2 linked regions of the Lonchura striata genome follow. The protein of the gene in region 1 purifies or fractionates together with the protein of each later gene. This does not show direct contact. Links are inferred from orthologs where the notes say so. Each region holds a gene or a part of one and is shown on either strand. Other genes may lie near its edges.

The links. The genes of interacting proteins can lie anywhere in the genome.
Region 2: the proteins of PAK1 (region 1) and GIT2 purify together in Homo sapiens (affinity purification with mass spectrometry; 5 studies listed by BioGRID and IntAct, with this or other methods). This does not show direct contact. The link is inferred for Lonchura striata from reciprocal best matches to the Homo sapiens genes PAK1 and GIT2.

What each region holds. Positions count from the first base shown.
Region 1 is NC_134604.1:32,382,771-32,390,519, forward strand, and holds the start of PAK1 (serine/threonine-protein kinase PAK 1), read right to left. Parts: upstream 3,014-7,749; 5' UTR 2,777-3,013; intron 2,254-2,776; exon of another isoform or gene 2,076-2,253; intron 1,648-2,075; exon of another isoform or gene 1,427-1,647; intron 1,345-1,426; exon of another isoform or gene 710-1,344; intron 704-709; exon of another isoform or gene 527-703; intron 1-526. UniProt on the Homo sapiens protein: Protein kinase involved in intracellular signaling pathways downstream of integrins and receptor-type kinases that plays an important role in cytoskeleton dynamics, in cell adhesion, migration, proliferation, apoptosis, mitosis, and in vesicle-mediated transport processes.
Region 2 is NC_134620.1:11,019,081-11,026,931, reverse strand, and holds the start of GIT2 (ARF GTPase-activating protein GIT2), read right to left. Parts: upstream 3,014-7,851; 5' UTR 2,955-3,013; coding exon 2,903-2,954; intron 1-2,902. Other genes in the region: ANKRD13A (ankyrin repeat domain-containing protein 13A), read left to right, coding at 3,816-3,911, 5,945-6,077, 6,189-6,313, 6,759-6,804, 7,434-7,577. UniProt on the Homo sapiens protein: GTPase-activating protein for ADP ribosylation factor family members, including ARF1.

The sequences.
Region 1 (7,749 bases):
AAAGGGAAAAAGAAGAAAAGAAGCCATTCTGCAGTTCACAGTTATAAAAAGACAAGACACTAATCAGCAAACTGGTGAAATTCATGCATTGAAATCAAAGCTGAGAGAAAAGGTCTCCTTTCAGAGCCTGGAAAAGGATAATAAAACAGTTCTTTGACCTCTCCAGCAAAGAGAGCTAGCATCAGTTTTCAATCCAGCGCAAGAAAGGCAGTGAAAAACAAAATAAACAAGCAATATATTTCCACTTGTGGCACTTATATTGGACTTGTCACGTATTTCTTCCTATATCCCCATTATGCACAGAAATGCATGAACTAAAAACCTCACTTTTCCCTACTCTTTTTTTTTCTGAGCAACATCCAGAGCACACAGTATTCCTCAGAAACCGGTAAAAGCATTCTTGCTGTCATGCTACAAGAGCATTTTCTTCTTCAAGTTTATTTTTGGCTTTCATTTCCAAATCGAAAAATGGCAGTTATATCATCCCATTTAAAGATGCAGGACTCAAAAAGGCTAAAAAAATTACCTGGCAGTTTATTGTCCAGTCTTAGACTCCAGCTCTGTTATACAGTACAGCTGAGAACAAATTCTGTTCTGTGGCACAAGACAGGCAATCCAGAGTTAAATAGAATCAGTATTTAAACATATTCAAATTCCCACCATAGCTTCTGTTCCCTGTGCAGAGATGAGCTTCATTTCTCTGACTTACCCACAAAAAAAATGCACGGGAAAAAGCAGTCTCCAAGCATCCAGTGGACACACACGCAAACTGTTCCACAAGGAGGAGTTTTTCCAGCCTCACCCTATAAAGCTGAGAGCAAGACCAGCACACCCACACTAAGAGATATTGAAGCAGCGACAGGAAGATGCTCCCTGCTTGCCCAGGTAATGTGCAACACCAGGAAACTCCCAACTGTAGAGAAGGGGGAGGTGGTTCAGTGAAAGGCATCCATAAGTCACTGGGCAAAGAGTAATTGCGAGCAAAGAAAACAAACATTCTTCCCTCTGTGCCCGATCCAGCCATTTCACCCTGCTACAATACCTACTTTTACTTTGAAAATGAAAAGTGTGGCTAACTGAACAGATTTTATAGTTGTTCTCACACACATACACATCTCATACATAGTTACCACAGAAAGTACACGCCTTACAGCCAGTCCCAAGCAAAAGTCAGGTTTTGACACCTATTTATAAATCTTGCTCCAGAAGAAAAAAACTCCTGGAGGCAATGTTGAAATAAGAATCAAGTAATGCTCAGCAGGAGCAGATGCACCGTGACACACATACGGATGGAGCCAGCTATTCCCAACAATCATGAATTTTAAGCCCTCTGGATAACAAAAGCAGCAAGACCAGGGAGTGCAGGCGTGGGAGAGCTGTGGATTGGGGCATTTCCATGCACAGTGGAAGACAGAAGCGCTAGTACCTCTGAAATCCCGTCCTGCTGGTGCTGCCTTCTCTAGCGAGCTCCCAGGTGCATTCAAGAGCACCCAGAGGTGCCAGCCATCTCCGATGTCCCTTCACTGCCCCCCACTCCCCAGGCAGAAGCCCCTGCTTTGAAGAAGGCTGGATTGAGACCAGCTGACGTTCCCTCCAATCTGAATTATGCCGCGATCCCAAAGTTCAGCTTCGCTTTTAAGTACTTTACTAGGAAAAAAGTCACGGTTTCGTACACACATGCGGGCGGAGGGGTTAAAAGACAAGCTCCCACCTCTCCATCCCTCCTCCACCAGCCACACAAAGCCCGAGGCTTCATCAACCCATCGCCCAGCATGGGTCCAGCTCCTCAATTCTTTGTGTTTGCCCAAAGCGCCCGCCCCTCCAGCCGAAGGCAGGACGGGTGCTTGGCAAAAACTGTGGGCTGAGCGCCGATTTCACCCCAGCCTCTGCTCCGGGACCCCAAACATGCGGCCCCGAAGGGCTCCCCGCTCGCAAAGCCCGGCGGCTGAGAACAACTCCCTTTGTTAAATGAATGAGTCGGGGAGGCAGGGGGGGGAAGGCAGGGTCAGTACCCTCTTCTACGAGAAAATTTCAAAAGGAGGAGGGAAGAGAAGGGCTGAAGAAGAAGAACGCACCCGTCCGCTCAAGCCCTGCGCAAACTTCCCGGTTACAAAACAAGCGAGGAAATCCCCTTCCCCGGCGCGGCGGCACTCACCTTCCGCCCGCCGCAAGGTGCTGCCCGGTCTGCCCGGCCCCGCTGCCCACGCCGCCCTGCCGCGGCCGGCGCCGCCCCGCGCCCTGCCCGCCGTGCCGCGGCCATTGGCTCGGGGCCCGCCCGCAGCCCCCCTGCCGCCAAGGTGGGCAGCCGGGCCGCGGGGCGGGACGCAGCGGGGCGAGGGGCGGGGGCAGGTCCCTGCGCTTCGCTCGGCGGCGGAAAGTTGCTTTGGGAACGGGAGGTACCTGCGCGGCGCGGCGGGAGCCCGGAGCGCCCCGGCGCTGCCCCGGCGCTGCCCCGGGGCCGCGGGTGTGCTCCGGCCGCGCTGCGGCTGCGGGCGGCTCCCGGAGCCCGCGGCTCCGCCGGGCAGCGGCCGGCAGCGGCGCTGGCCTGCCTGGGACGCAGAAGTCTTTGGCGATCACGCCATCAGCGGGGAATCGCGGCAATCGCAGCAATCGCGAGCCGCGCTGCGCTGACTTTATTTCTGCCGCCCGTACCGCGCTGCGCTATCGCGGAGCCGGCTCCATTGTGCTGAGGTCTGTGTGCGTGCAGATCCAAAAAAGGCAAGAATAAAACGGGCTCTGCCCTGCCGCTGTGTTGCACAAGCCGAGGCGTCTATACCTTATATTGCCGGGATCCGGGTGTCCCCTCTCCCCGTGTTCCGCAGCTTGCTGGAAACTTGTCACCCTAGTTAACAGGAGTTTTCGGCTCAGCGCTTGTGCTGCGCCCGGAGGGAAAAAGAGGAGGGGTTTGGCTGCACGTACAGCGCCGGGCTCTCGAGAAGAGAGGTGAGGTGTTCTCGGGACGTGCTCTCCAGAGGTGGGAAGGTGAAATGTTGAAGTGAAGCAGGTAGTTACAGGCAAAAGGGAGACGAGCTTTATACCGAGACAGCACACGACAGATAAGACAGCGCTGCCACAGTCTCGCCCTTCCCCCTTGTCCAACATTTATCAGTTGCCGTGATAAGTTTGTTCAGGAGCTAAACCAACAGAAAATTACACACACAAATTAACATCGCAAAAGTAAACAAATGGAGGAAGCGAGAATTCGAGTCTGGGACTGATAGGGAGAGTGAGAATGCCACAAAGCTGATTTCAGTCAGCTGAACCTGCTGTGGAATTACGCACTTCGAAGCACTTTCCTCTGTTGGATACATTTAACATTGGGCTCAAATCCACACACACAGGCAGATCGCATGAGCTCCCTCAAGCATCCTCTGCTCGCAGTTTGGTTGCAACATAAAGGTTTTTCTGTAGTTCAGGGTAATATGTATCAGTCCCATCACTTCAAAGACAGGATCAGACTGTGTCAAGAATCCCAGAGATACATGGGAGCTTACTGGATTGCTGCTGGGGGGAGGGAATGAACTGAGGCAAAAGCCACGTAGCTCAATTTAAATTCTGGATCCATAAAGGGGGCTCCATGAAAGCTGGAGTTAAAACACAAGAGTTACCCTTTGACCCTGAACTGAGAGCTGAAGAGTGACTTCCTTTTTGTACCATGCTTGAAATATCAAAACCTTTTCAGAAACATGAGTGAATGCTGACAATATTTAAAAAAAAAAAATTTTGAAGCCAGACAAGAGAACAGCCCAAAATACTCCATAACCATGCCTGTTTGACGAGACATGTTACCAAATACATTCATTCAACCACATGGAGAATAGATAAGTCAGGAAATTGCAGTGGTTGACCTAAGGCCTGGTCCATATACACTGGGTGTACTGCACTCTTCTGAGCCCCGGAGAGGTCCATCTGGGGTGCTGTGACCAGTGCCAGGCTCCTCAGTCCAAGAGAAACATGGAGCTCCTGGAGTGGGGTTGTATAACTATAGTGTTTGCCCAAAGCACCCGCCCAAAGAGCTACAAATGTGATGAGGGGAAATGAGCATCTCCCTTATGAGGAAAACTGAGTGAGCTGGCCACGCTCAGCCTTGAGAAGAGACAGCTGAGAGGGGACAATCAATACACAGGTTAACTCAGTTCAAAGGAATCTCACCAAAACGTAAAGAATCCTTACATTTTGCTATTTTCCTATTCTGTAGTAATGTGAAATCCTAATGAAATATCCAGGAATTACAATACTTAGAGTTTTCTGAATTTACCCAAAGTTCAAGATTCATTTGTGCAAAATTGCTGCTTGATATTTCAGAGGGAGTTCCTAAATGAAAGGAGGAAGATGTCCATGAACAGCGTAAGAACAGGATAGAAAGCTACCACTGCAAACCAGAATTTGGTACTTCAGAAAGGAATGAGTGAAATGTAAATCTTTTTATTTGCATTTCTAAGCACTCACAGCTAAGTGTTCAGGGGTTTTCAGGCAAAGGAACCATCCTGCCTTGCACTCAGGTTCAAATCAAATGCCCCTTTTCTAATATGGAGGAAACAGGGGATTTCTTATACCTCAAAAGGGTCTCCTGTGTTCTGTGGGAAGAAGCCTGGCACCAGACCCCAGCCTCAAAGACCAACTCTGTCGAACAATCAGTTTTACAGCAATCACATAAGAGCTGTGTTTGCCTCCCCTTCAGACACACAGCAGAACAAGCAGTACACTGCCGTGGGGCACAGCCTGACGATTCCTTCTCTGTCAGCAGCACCAGTATCAATAGTTCTTACTCTGCTGTGCAGCTCCGTTCCTGAGCTACTCCCTGCACTGTGCCAACACAGCTATTTGTGCAGCTATGTAATGGAAGGGATCAAATAACTGGTCCATCTAGGATTTTCCTAGGTGTTTTTACTCAGATCAAATCCCCAAATACCTTGGCTGATATGATGCAGGAGGAACACAAGAGCATATAAATTCACAGGAGATGAAGCTGAGCTGAGGGACAGTAACTTGTTAGGATGTGCCCACTTAGTCACCTGCGTTAACCTGTCCACTCAATTAATCTGCTTAAGCAAACAGAGACAAATTGGACTCAGCCTACATGGAAGAAAACAGAGTTCATGAACGACCTGAAGACTGACTGCAGGTCTCTAGATTTTAATAGTAGGGAAAGGAAAAAGACAAAAAAAATAGAGTCCTATAGTTATGCAACACAAAATTAAGAAGTTCCTCAGCTATATATCATACTGTGAAGATGAAGAAATAGCAAGCACCAGCAAGCAAAACTGAAGGTGGTGGTGAGTCGGCACAGTACTATCTGGAGGTTTCTCACACAGTAAATAAGAAGTCAATCCAGCAAAGTAGTGTTGTTATAGTGGTGTGAAATGAAGAAGAGAGACTAAGATTCATCACTGCCCTACATATCATATAAGTTTGTACAGCACTGAAAAATGTATGTAAAACACTTTCAAATCACAACTATTTCCTTTTCATTTTGTCCAGATAATGCAGTACACTAAAGCAGTGAGGAATGTGTTTCTGGACACAAATCTATGATGCAGAAATGTTTTTGCTAAATAAACACACCAAAGCACGACAGCAGCAATCTTTCATTTCCTTAGTAAATTTTAGGGAGTTTTAGTGCCAGAAAAGCAAAGTAAAAGCTAAAAAAAGCCCAGAACACCTGACTAGCACAGAGTAGCATCTGGTTCCTATCTTATATATCTTGATGTTAGATGGTATGTAATACTCATCCTAACAGAAGTTAAAATCATTTCCAAAATGTATAGAAATACCACATTACCATTGATGCATATTTAACATGGACATGCACCTCCTACCATCCCGTAGAAAGGTTTGTTATGATTTCTTTGCCCTAGAATGAGTTCAAATACAGGAGTAAGAACCAGGGTCACCATTTTAGAAAAGCTGGCTCTGGGTTACACTTTTTTGATCTTAGAACTGAAGTGAAAATCCAGTTTATGCAAAAACATGTCTCAGTAATTGACTATATGCAGTTGTTTCACTCCAGATAAGTGGTTAAGGCATCGTAATGTACACGTTCCCACTTGCCACTCAGTCTTCCATTTCTGTACTGAGAAGCTCACAGTAAAGGTTTAGGATCTGTCTGGTACAGTTATAACAGTACTTACAACTTGGTGGGGTTTTCTTTCATTTGGTTTTTGGTTTTTGTTGTTGTTGTTTTGGTTTGGGTTTTTTTGTTTGTTTGTTTTTTTGATACCTAAATCCCAGATAATTCTGGTTCTTCTTATGGGTTACTGACTTTTTGGTTAAGTTACCTTATATTTGGTTGAAACCTCAGAGCAACCTTCATGCCATTCAAATTTTAAATAATCTCTTACCGCTTCATTGAAGTCCTGGAATCTTGCAAAACCTCTGGTGATGAATACACTTTTACATTCCAGATCTCCTTTTGCCAGGAAATTGCACAGAGACAGCTAAGAGCACTCAGTGCTTTGGTGAGCAATCAGCAAGTCAGGGAATATTAGGGAAGCCACAAATGACTGTTTGATTCTGGAAGCCTTGTGTATCTCTGGAAGTCATAAAATACAGATGGGCAATGGCTTAACAGTGAGGTCAGTCTTTGATTCATTAGCTAACAGCTGAATTTAAGCATATATATCCAAATTTTGAGGCATGCTGCTAATTCAAGCTTAAAAGCAAGGGGGAAGTTTTACCCTGCACTGTGAGTTTCTCTGGAGTGTACAGAATCCTGGCTTTGGCTTAGGTTTTACATGTTCTCTCAATGATCTTAATAGTTCAGGTTTTGGAAAAATATTACTAAGCACTGGTAATCTTAGGCAAAAAACATATTTAAGTGCTGTAAGCTCTTCTTTGTGGATTGAGGTATAAACTTCAAACACACTGGGTCAGTCACTGGGGCTATAAGAATTCACACCACAGACTGACTGTATGTAAATCCTACATTATGCAAAAGAATCTGTGGAGATGAGTGCCCTGACAGAGGAGCCTCTTTTCAGATATTACAAACAGTACTGATGTGCTCCAAAACCAGAAATTTGGTTCAGAATTTTGTCTTTCAATCTCCCAACTGCACTTATAGCTATGGTTCCCTACATCAAACTTCCCTCTGCCTGCACTCTAAAATTAAACACCCATCCCTGCCTGCCCCTATTTTTCTCCACCTGTATCAAGGAACATCTACTCATTCCTACTTCCTCTCCTTTCCCCTTCCTCCCACCTCCCAGCCTTATTTAATCATTCACCTGACTTTGAAAGTCCCCTTCCTCCCTGATCCCACCAGCCAGCCTAAGCCAAGGATGTGAACACTCTTTTAGGGATCTATGTTGACTGAAAATTATCCTAGAATGGTTAGGGTGGGAAGGGACCTTTAAGACCATTTTGTCCCAACTCCCCTGCCATGGGCAGGGATATCTTCCACTAGACCAGGTTGCTCAAAGCCCCAACCAACCTGGCCTCAAACACTTCCAAGGGATGGGGCATCCACTGCTTCTCTGGGCATCCCATTCCAGTGCTCCACCACTTTTGCAGTGAAGAATCATGGCAGCAGCTCTGCTTTACAAAACACAGGCAGCAGCAAACAAAGAACGAGGCACCCAGGGAGAGCAAGAGGGGCACTGCTGAGAGGGAGGGGAGGGAAGGGGGAGGTTGTAAACACTGCTCATTCACTTGGGCCTTTGGAGCATGAAGGAATTGCTGTTAGTGAAGGAAGTGTGGAAAGTAGCACAGTAATGGCAGGCAGGCAAACATCTCAAGCACGACAGCCTG
Region 2 (7,851 bases), on another chromosome or scaffold:
AGAGCCAAATTAAAGCAGGTGAGACAAAAAAATAATCCATTTGTTAAAGAACAAATTACAACAAGCACTTAGAACTCCTTGTTAAATCATTCCATTATTTAACAATTTTGATTTCCATGAAGAAAAAGAACAGCAATAGAGTGAGATGCATTCATGGCAACCTAATCACCCAAACTGAGGCAGCCTTCCAGATTAATGAGCCTGATTCCTTCTTGTTAGAGACAACCTCATCACACATGGATGGGATTCTTAGGGATCCTTTCCCTTGCCCATTCCCAGGCTGTTTGTGAGCATTGCTCTGCATTATCAACAGTCAGCACTGGGGGTTTTCTTTATCTCCACCTCAACACCAAACACCCTTGGATATTTCAGGTTTAAATTTAATGCAATGAAGTATCTGTCCTGGAATTTGAGTAATTTTTAAGAGAGACCTAATTATGGACTCGATCAGAATATGTTCAAGCAAGTACCAAAATACACAGGATCCCACAATCACTGAGGTTGAAAGAGACCCCTGAGTCCAACCTGTGACTGATCATCCCCTTGTCACCAGCCCAGAGCACTGAGTGCCATGTCCAGCTCTTCCTTGGACACCTCCAGGGATGGGGACTCCAAACCTCCCTGGGCAGCTCCTTCCAGTCCCTGACCACCCCTTCCATGAGGAAATTCCTCCTGGTGCCCAACCTGACCCTCCCCTGGCACAGTTTGATGCACTTTCTTCTCTCCTGTCCCTGTTCCCTGGGAGCAGAGCCTGCCCCTCACCCAGGCTGTCCCATCCTGTCAGGAGTTGTGCAGAGCCACAAGGTCCCTCCTGAGCCTCCTTTGCTCCAGGCTGAGCCCCTTTAGCTGCCCCTTCTCCATCTCCATTCCCTTTCCTGGACATGCTCCAGCTCCTCCATATCTGTCCTGGAGCGAGGGGCCCGGAGCTGGACAAAGCAATTGAGGGTCCTCAGTGTCCAGCTCAGGGGTGGTCACAGCCTGGCCCTGCTGCCCACGCTGGTTTTGATACAAAGGACAATTGGGGAGAAGCTGCAGGGCCGGGCAGGCGCTTTCAGGAACCTGCAGGGTGGTTCAAAACAGGAAGTTTGAGATGAAGACAAACCCGGCCCAGGGTCTGAGAACTGAGCTCCTGCCTCGGGATAGGAAGTGCAGCACAAGAGCTCCTGTAAGAGTCAAAGAAAACCCTCCACGCTCTGCCCTGGCAGAGACAAAGGGGCATTGATGAGGTTCCAGGGGAAGCAGTAATTAATGCAGGTGCCAGGCACACCCGCCCTGGTGCAAAGGCTGCAGCCACCAGGTCTCCTGACACAGCCCCACGCAGCCATGGACAAACCCTCTGGTTTTGCTAAAGGAAAGGGTTGATTTGTTTTATTTACCAAAAGATTAAATGAAGATTCCTTTATGTATGTAGATAAGCCACTGGATTCTAATAAATAAGTAAAGATTTCTTCATATATGTGGACAAGCCAGCGGGTTTCTAGTAAGTAAGTAAAGAGCTGGAAGTGCTCTAATGTCACGATAAAGGCTGGATTACAGGATTACCAGACAGTGATTCTGATGCCCCAAGGAGCTTAAGGAACACAGTTCACACAGCTTTATCTCCAACTCACAACACCCCTGATGTGAGCAAGCATAGATAGGCTACCTTGTGAGATAGGGACAATCACCTGCCTGAGAGATGCCAGCTGCATTTATTGTAAAACCAAATTTCTACAGGGGTACAAGCAGAATCCCAGACTGGTTTGGGTTGGAGGGAGCTTAAAGCTCACCCAGTGCCAATCCCTACCATGGGCAGGGACACCTTCCATTATCCCAACCCCATCCAACCTGGCCTTGGCCACTTCCAGGGATGGAGCAACTTCTCTGGGCAACCTGTGCCAGGGCCTCACTACCCTCACAGGGAAGACTTCCTTCTGTAAAAAGAAGAATGTCACTTCCTGGAAGTTCATTTGGAATTTTTATCATTTTTTAAAACATAACTCAGATTGAATAAAAGTTGTTCTCCCTTTTCCCACATCCTATCTTCTGCCAATTCAAGTGTTATCTACATTACACAGACATTGATATTACACATACAATAATAAGGTATTATTACATCAGTGTTTTAATTCATTTCACTATGTGCATAACCTGCCCAGAACACAAACAGCAAAAACTAAAGAGCCAGAAAAGACACAGACAGAGCTGACAAAATAAAGCAGGACAGTTTTAGATACAAGAGCTGCAGAACTACAGACGGTCAGGAGATGCAACAGCTTTTCTGAACACCACCTCCACTTCCATATGCTCCCAAACTGATCTGCAGCGGCATACGCGCCAGCCCAAGGCAGACCCTGCTCCCTGAGCATCTCCAGACACCTCAGCACAACTTTCCTTGGAAGTGTGGGCCGTGGGACAAATCCCAGTTTACCTCCCCAATGCCCCTGGGAACAGGGACAGGGGTGAAAACGCAGCCCCCCAAAAACAGCCCTGCTCCTTTCCAGTGACACATTCCCAACCCACGCCCTGCCCGTGACTGAAGGTGGATTCCTGTCAGCTTCCCTCCTTCCTAGGCTGGGGAGCTCCGCACTTCCCGCCGCCGGAGCCCTCCGGGATGCTCCCGGAGCTCCGCGTGCCCCGGGCTCGGGAGGGGCGGCGGTGCCGGACACCCGGACACGGAGTTCCATCCCAGCCCTGCAAGTGTCCCAGGCCAGGCTGGACGCTGTCGGAGCAGCCCGGGCTCCTGGAAGCCGCGCTGCCCACGGGCTTTGAGCTGCCTTCCCACCCAAACCATCCCGCTCCATCACAGGTGCAGCGCTCCGGGGCGGGGACGCCCCCGGGCCGGCGGCGCCCCCGCGGCCCCCGGTTCCAGAGGGGTCCGCGGGACGAGCCCGCGCGGTGCCGCTGGCGGTGCGGTGCCTACCCTGAGCGCTGCAGTCGGCGCAGACCTCGCTGCTCCTCAGGCGCTTCGCCATCGCGGGACCGGCGGCAGCGGCGGCAGCGGGGCCGGTAACGGGCCCCGCCAGCCCCGGGCCGGCCCCGCGCATGCGCGACGAGACCCCCTCTGCCGCTCCGCGTGTCGCCCGTGCCGCCATCTTTACTCCTGGCACGGGGGCCTGCCTTCAAACTGAGCTCCGGCTCAGCGGCGCGGCACCGAGCGCTCCCGCCCGGGCCCGCCTGCCCGCTGCGCCCTCTCGGCGGGGTTATGGGAGAGATGTGGCTTCGGAAGCCTGCTGGGAGAGGCCGCTGTGCAGCAAGCCCTGCCCTTACCCGCCATGGCGGGCGGGCGAGCCAAACCAAGGCCGGGCGAAGGCGGGGTGAGAGCGGTGAGCGCACCCCATGCGGGGAAGGCAATGGGACAGCTGCGGGCGGGACGTTCCATCCGTCCGCCCTCAGAGGGGGAGGGGGAGCGGCTTCCGCTTTCCGTGCGGTTGTCGGTGGCGGTAGGAGTGCGGGGCACCGCGAGGAAACCCCCCTGCTCCGGGCGCGCTGTGGTCGGTGCCAGCCGTCCCCGGAGGGACGGGGAAGAGGGGCCGGGACGGCTGAGGGGGAGCGGGGCGAGCCCGGGAGCGGCGCCGAGCGGACTCCGGGAGGAGACCCGGGGGCTGCCAGGGGCACCAGCAGCAGCAGGGGAGACCCCCGCGCTGGGGTTTTGCATGGGGCTCCCTTCGGAGAGGGCTGAACGGTTCCTGGGGGGTCGTGGCCCGCACACGCACACCTGGGCCAGGTGGGTGCCCGCAGAGACCAGAAGCTGAAGGGCTCAGGGCTTGAGTGACGTGGGAGCATCCAGAGAGGAGAGAGTGAGGGTCCCCCCCGGCTCGCAGGTGTGTGCTGGGATGAGCTCCCCCGGCGGGGCCGGCAGCGCCTTCCCCCTGCACGTCCTGGTGTGGAATAACGACTACCGGCGGCTGGACGAGGAGCTGCGGGACCAGGTACCGGGGCTCGGGGGCTGCTGGGGGGCTGCTGGCCCTGGCTCGCTGCTGTGCCAGGGAGGATCACCCTGGTGGCGCTGCTTGAGGGATCCCTGCACTCGGTTACCTGTTTATTTGTGGTGTGGGAGTGATGCGAGAAGGTGTGGGAATATATTTTTATGTCAGATACTAAACGTTGGCTTCCCATCTGTAAAGCTTTGCTCTGAGCGTTGCTCTTTAGGGGAGAGCTCAAGGAGGGCAGCTGTGATGGATATTAATTTATTTATTAAAGCAATAAATAGTGTTTGTCTTAATGGGAAGTCAACGTGCAGCAAAGGTAGCTGGTGCTACTGGACATCAAACCAAGCCCTCACTTTGCTGAGCACCATCAGTTCTTACAGGTTTGTCGCTGCCCAAGAATGAGGACAGAGTTTTTATATGGGTTGGAATGTTTTCAGCATCTCTGGTAAAAAAAAAAAAAAATAGAAATGGATCATTGTTTAGTGCTGGAGAGCAGCAAACACAAAGCTGTCCCCTCTCTGGGACATGATGACGTAAGGAAACAGCCTGAAAGCTGCAGCAGAGCTTGAGCAGCAAAAATCCTCCTGGCTGAGCTGCTGTGCAAAAGCTCTGACGGGCTAGAGCGAGGTACAGTTAATGAGCAGAGCTGATTAATTAATTATACCTGACACCACAAGTACGTGAGCCCAAGACCGGCTGTGCCACCTCCTGTCACCTGCAGCTCTAACGGTGCACCTGACTTACTAATTCCTGCTTAGAGCATGTTCCTGCCCTGGTTTGGGAGAATCTTTGGAATGCAGTCACTTTTTACCTCATTTATATCACCTTATGCCTTAACAAAATCTTTAACCTCACTGGCACGTTGCTCCTGTGTGTTTACTTCTGACATCTGTGAGAGTTTATGGTTAAATAGGGATCACTCAGCAGCTCCCACCTGTGGAATGCTGCTTCCTCCCTCCATTCCCTGTGGAAGCCAGCAGCGTGTGAAGATGGACTGTGTCTCTTCCTTTACCTGCTTTTAAACACCTTTTTTTTCTTTTTTTTTTTTTTTTTTTTAAGTATTCCAAAGATCTGGTTCCCCCTGCTGCTTTGGGATGAGCTTCCTGCTGCTGGAGGGACCTGTGAAGGAATCAAAGGCACTTCCCAGCTGTGGCTGGAGTGGCAAATGGGGTGGGGCATGTGGGGACCAGGGAACAGCAACAAACAGTGGGGAGGGACCCTTGGAGCTCTTTAGAGCTGCAGGAGGTGGAGAAACAAATTAATTAATGTTCCACCCCAGAAGTGAAGATGCTTTAAAGTGAAGCTTTCCCACTCTCTGTGAGATATTCTGACTTGAAGCTGTCAGATAACGCTGTTAACGTGCATAATAACCTTCCTTTCTCATTCTGCTATTGACTTTCCCCTTTTCCTTTAGTTATAGATGCTCTTCTGTTTCAAATCTCTAAGCTAATAGTGAAAAATGTGTAAGGTATGAGTATGTTGTGCTTGCATGTTTTGGATATTTGTGCCTGTGTAGTTTATTTTTTACTTTAGTGACTTGCAGAGAATGCCCTCACTCCTCATTGTGCTGTGTGTGTGCTTTGTGAAACACCATCTGCTTCTGTCCTTTCCAAAAGTGCTGTCCAAAAGCCGTGTTGTATGTCCTGTTGCCTTTTTTTTCCCCTTTCCCCCCCATTTTGTTGTACAGTTTAAACTCTCTGTGGGGTCTCAGGCTCTTGGCTGTCCGTGGGGTGATGCACACGGACAGAACTCCTCCTGAGCCTTCTGGGGGGAGCCAGAGGGGAAATAATGACAGAAAAAGCAATGAAAAGCATCAACAAGAACTCCTGTCCTACAGATTTTGTGTCATTTCATAGGCCCCGTTCTGCTTCTCCTTTTATTCACGTGGGGAAGCAAGGCAGCCCCGCAGAAGGGCGGTGCAGGAGAGTTTGGGAGTGGATCCATGGGAATGGCAGGGAATGCTGACTCCTGGATGAGCCCTGTGTTTGTGCAGGCTCTGATGAGCTCTGTTACTCTCTCTTGGACACTGACAGGATGTTGACCAGCGGGATCCACGGGGCAGGACCTTGCTGCACTTGGCTGTTTCCTTGGGTTACATCGAATCTGCCAAGGTCCTCCTGCAGCACAAGGCAGATGTGACCAAGGAGAACGCGCAGGGATGGACGGGTAAGGAACAACCTGGGGTGTCAGTCTTTCAGTAGCAGCTGTTCTGTGTTTTTATATGGAATTTTGGTCAGCAAGCAAAGTGACACGAGGCTGTGGCTGGCTTTCTTTCAGTTTTGCATGAGGCTGTCAGCACAGGGGATCCAGAGATGGTCCAGCTGATCCTGCAGCATCGGGACTACCAGCAGACCTCCATGACCCTCGGAGGAGTTCCCGAGTTACTGCAGAAGATTAACGAGGTAAGGATTTATTGAAGTGTAAACTCTCATTCTAGACTGAAATCTCTGCTTGAATACTCATTCAAGTAGTTCAGTTAACTATTGCAATCAGCTGGGTAATTGTGTTTTGTTCCAACCTGCATATTCCGTAGTCCTGAAGGACATGGAGGCTTTTCCTTGACTTTATTTAAATCCTTTGTCATGTACTCCAGCATTGGAGGCTGAATTTTGAAGGCACTGCTGCCTCTCCAGTAAAACAAGGAAGAACAGCTCCCCAGAAAGCAGCAGGGGCAGGGCAGTGCCTGTTGTGTTTGCAACTTTCAATTTCAGTTTTAGCATTGGCTAATCATTTCTCCAGTTTTGCTCTCTTTTTTTTTTTTTCCTTTATCTAAAATGTTCACAGGAAATGCTGCACTGACTGTCAAACTATTTCATGAAGTACTCATCAGGTGTTTTCCTTCTGCAGACTCCTGACTTTTATGTGGAAATGAAATGGGAGTTCACTAGCTGGGGTAAGGATCCTGCTCCTTGTTACCAATTTCAAGCTGTAAAAATGAGTTAGAAATGTCCCACAGTGCAGGCAGGGAGATATCCGCTCCCTGCAATCTTCCTCTTCTCCATCTCAAAATGACCTCTTGTGCTTTTGTTGCACAATTATTCTTTGTTTCCTGTGTGTCTGGTTGGTTGGGTTTTGGTAGTGGAGAATTTAGCTGTTGTTGCTGTTGCCTGGAGACTTTTCTTGGGTTTTTTTTTACCTGTCCCTGGCCATCCACAACTGATCGTGTGTCATCTATGGATTCACTGGTTGTTTGAGGAAGTACCTGCTTTTCCCTGAAAGGAATGAACATTAGGTCTCACAGCTGATTAAATATATCAAATATCAAATATTAGACGACCAGGCATGGGGTTTATGCCATTTCAAACCTTGCAGTCCAAACAAATATCTTCTTCCTTTCCATATTCATCTTTAAATTAGGCCGGTTTTCCCCTAAGCTGGTTGTTCTTAAAGCTGAAGATGATCAGTATCTCACCTCCTCTGGAATGACATTCCCAGGAGTGAGCAATCCCTGTGCTTGAACTAATTTCCTCAGTGCTGCACCTCTTGCACATTTTCCCTTTGCATTTCTCCCATTTCTCCCAGTGCCCCTGGTTTCCAGGGTGTGCCCGAGCGATGTTTGCCGCATCTGGAAGAGCCGGGCCAAGCTGCGTGTGGACATCACCTTGCTGGGCTTCGAGAACATGAGCTGGGAGAGGGGCAGGAGGACTGTCATCTTCAAGGGAGAAGGTAAAGAGTTCACCTGTCTGCACCACTGGCCCCCAAACACTGTATGAGCACAGTGAGAAATCCTGATTTTACACAAAAAAAGCCTCTGTGCATTATGAAGGTTTTATGCTTATGTTTGTGTTTCGCAGAGATACTGTTTTATGATGGTGTAACTTCTTTGCTTTGAGTAAATCTGAGGTAAAAATTTGGTGATGGGGTAAAATGTCAGTATTTTACTGTTTCCCTCCTTCTTTTCTGCTGCCCTGCGTATAAAAAATAATTTTAGTTCCATCTC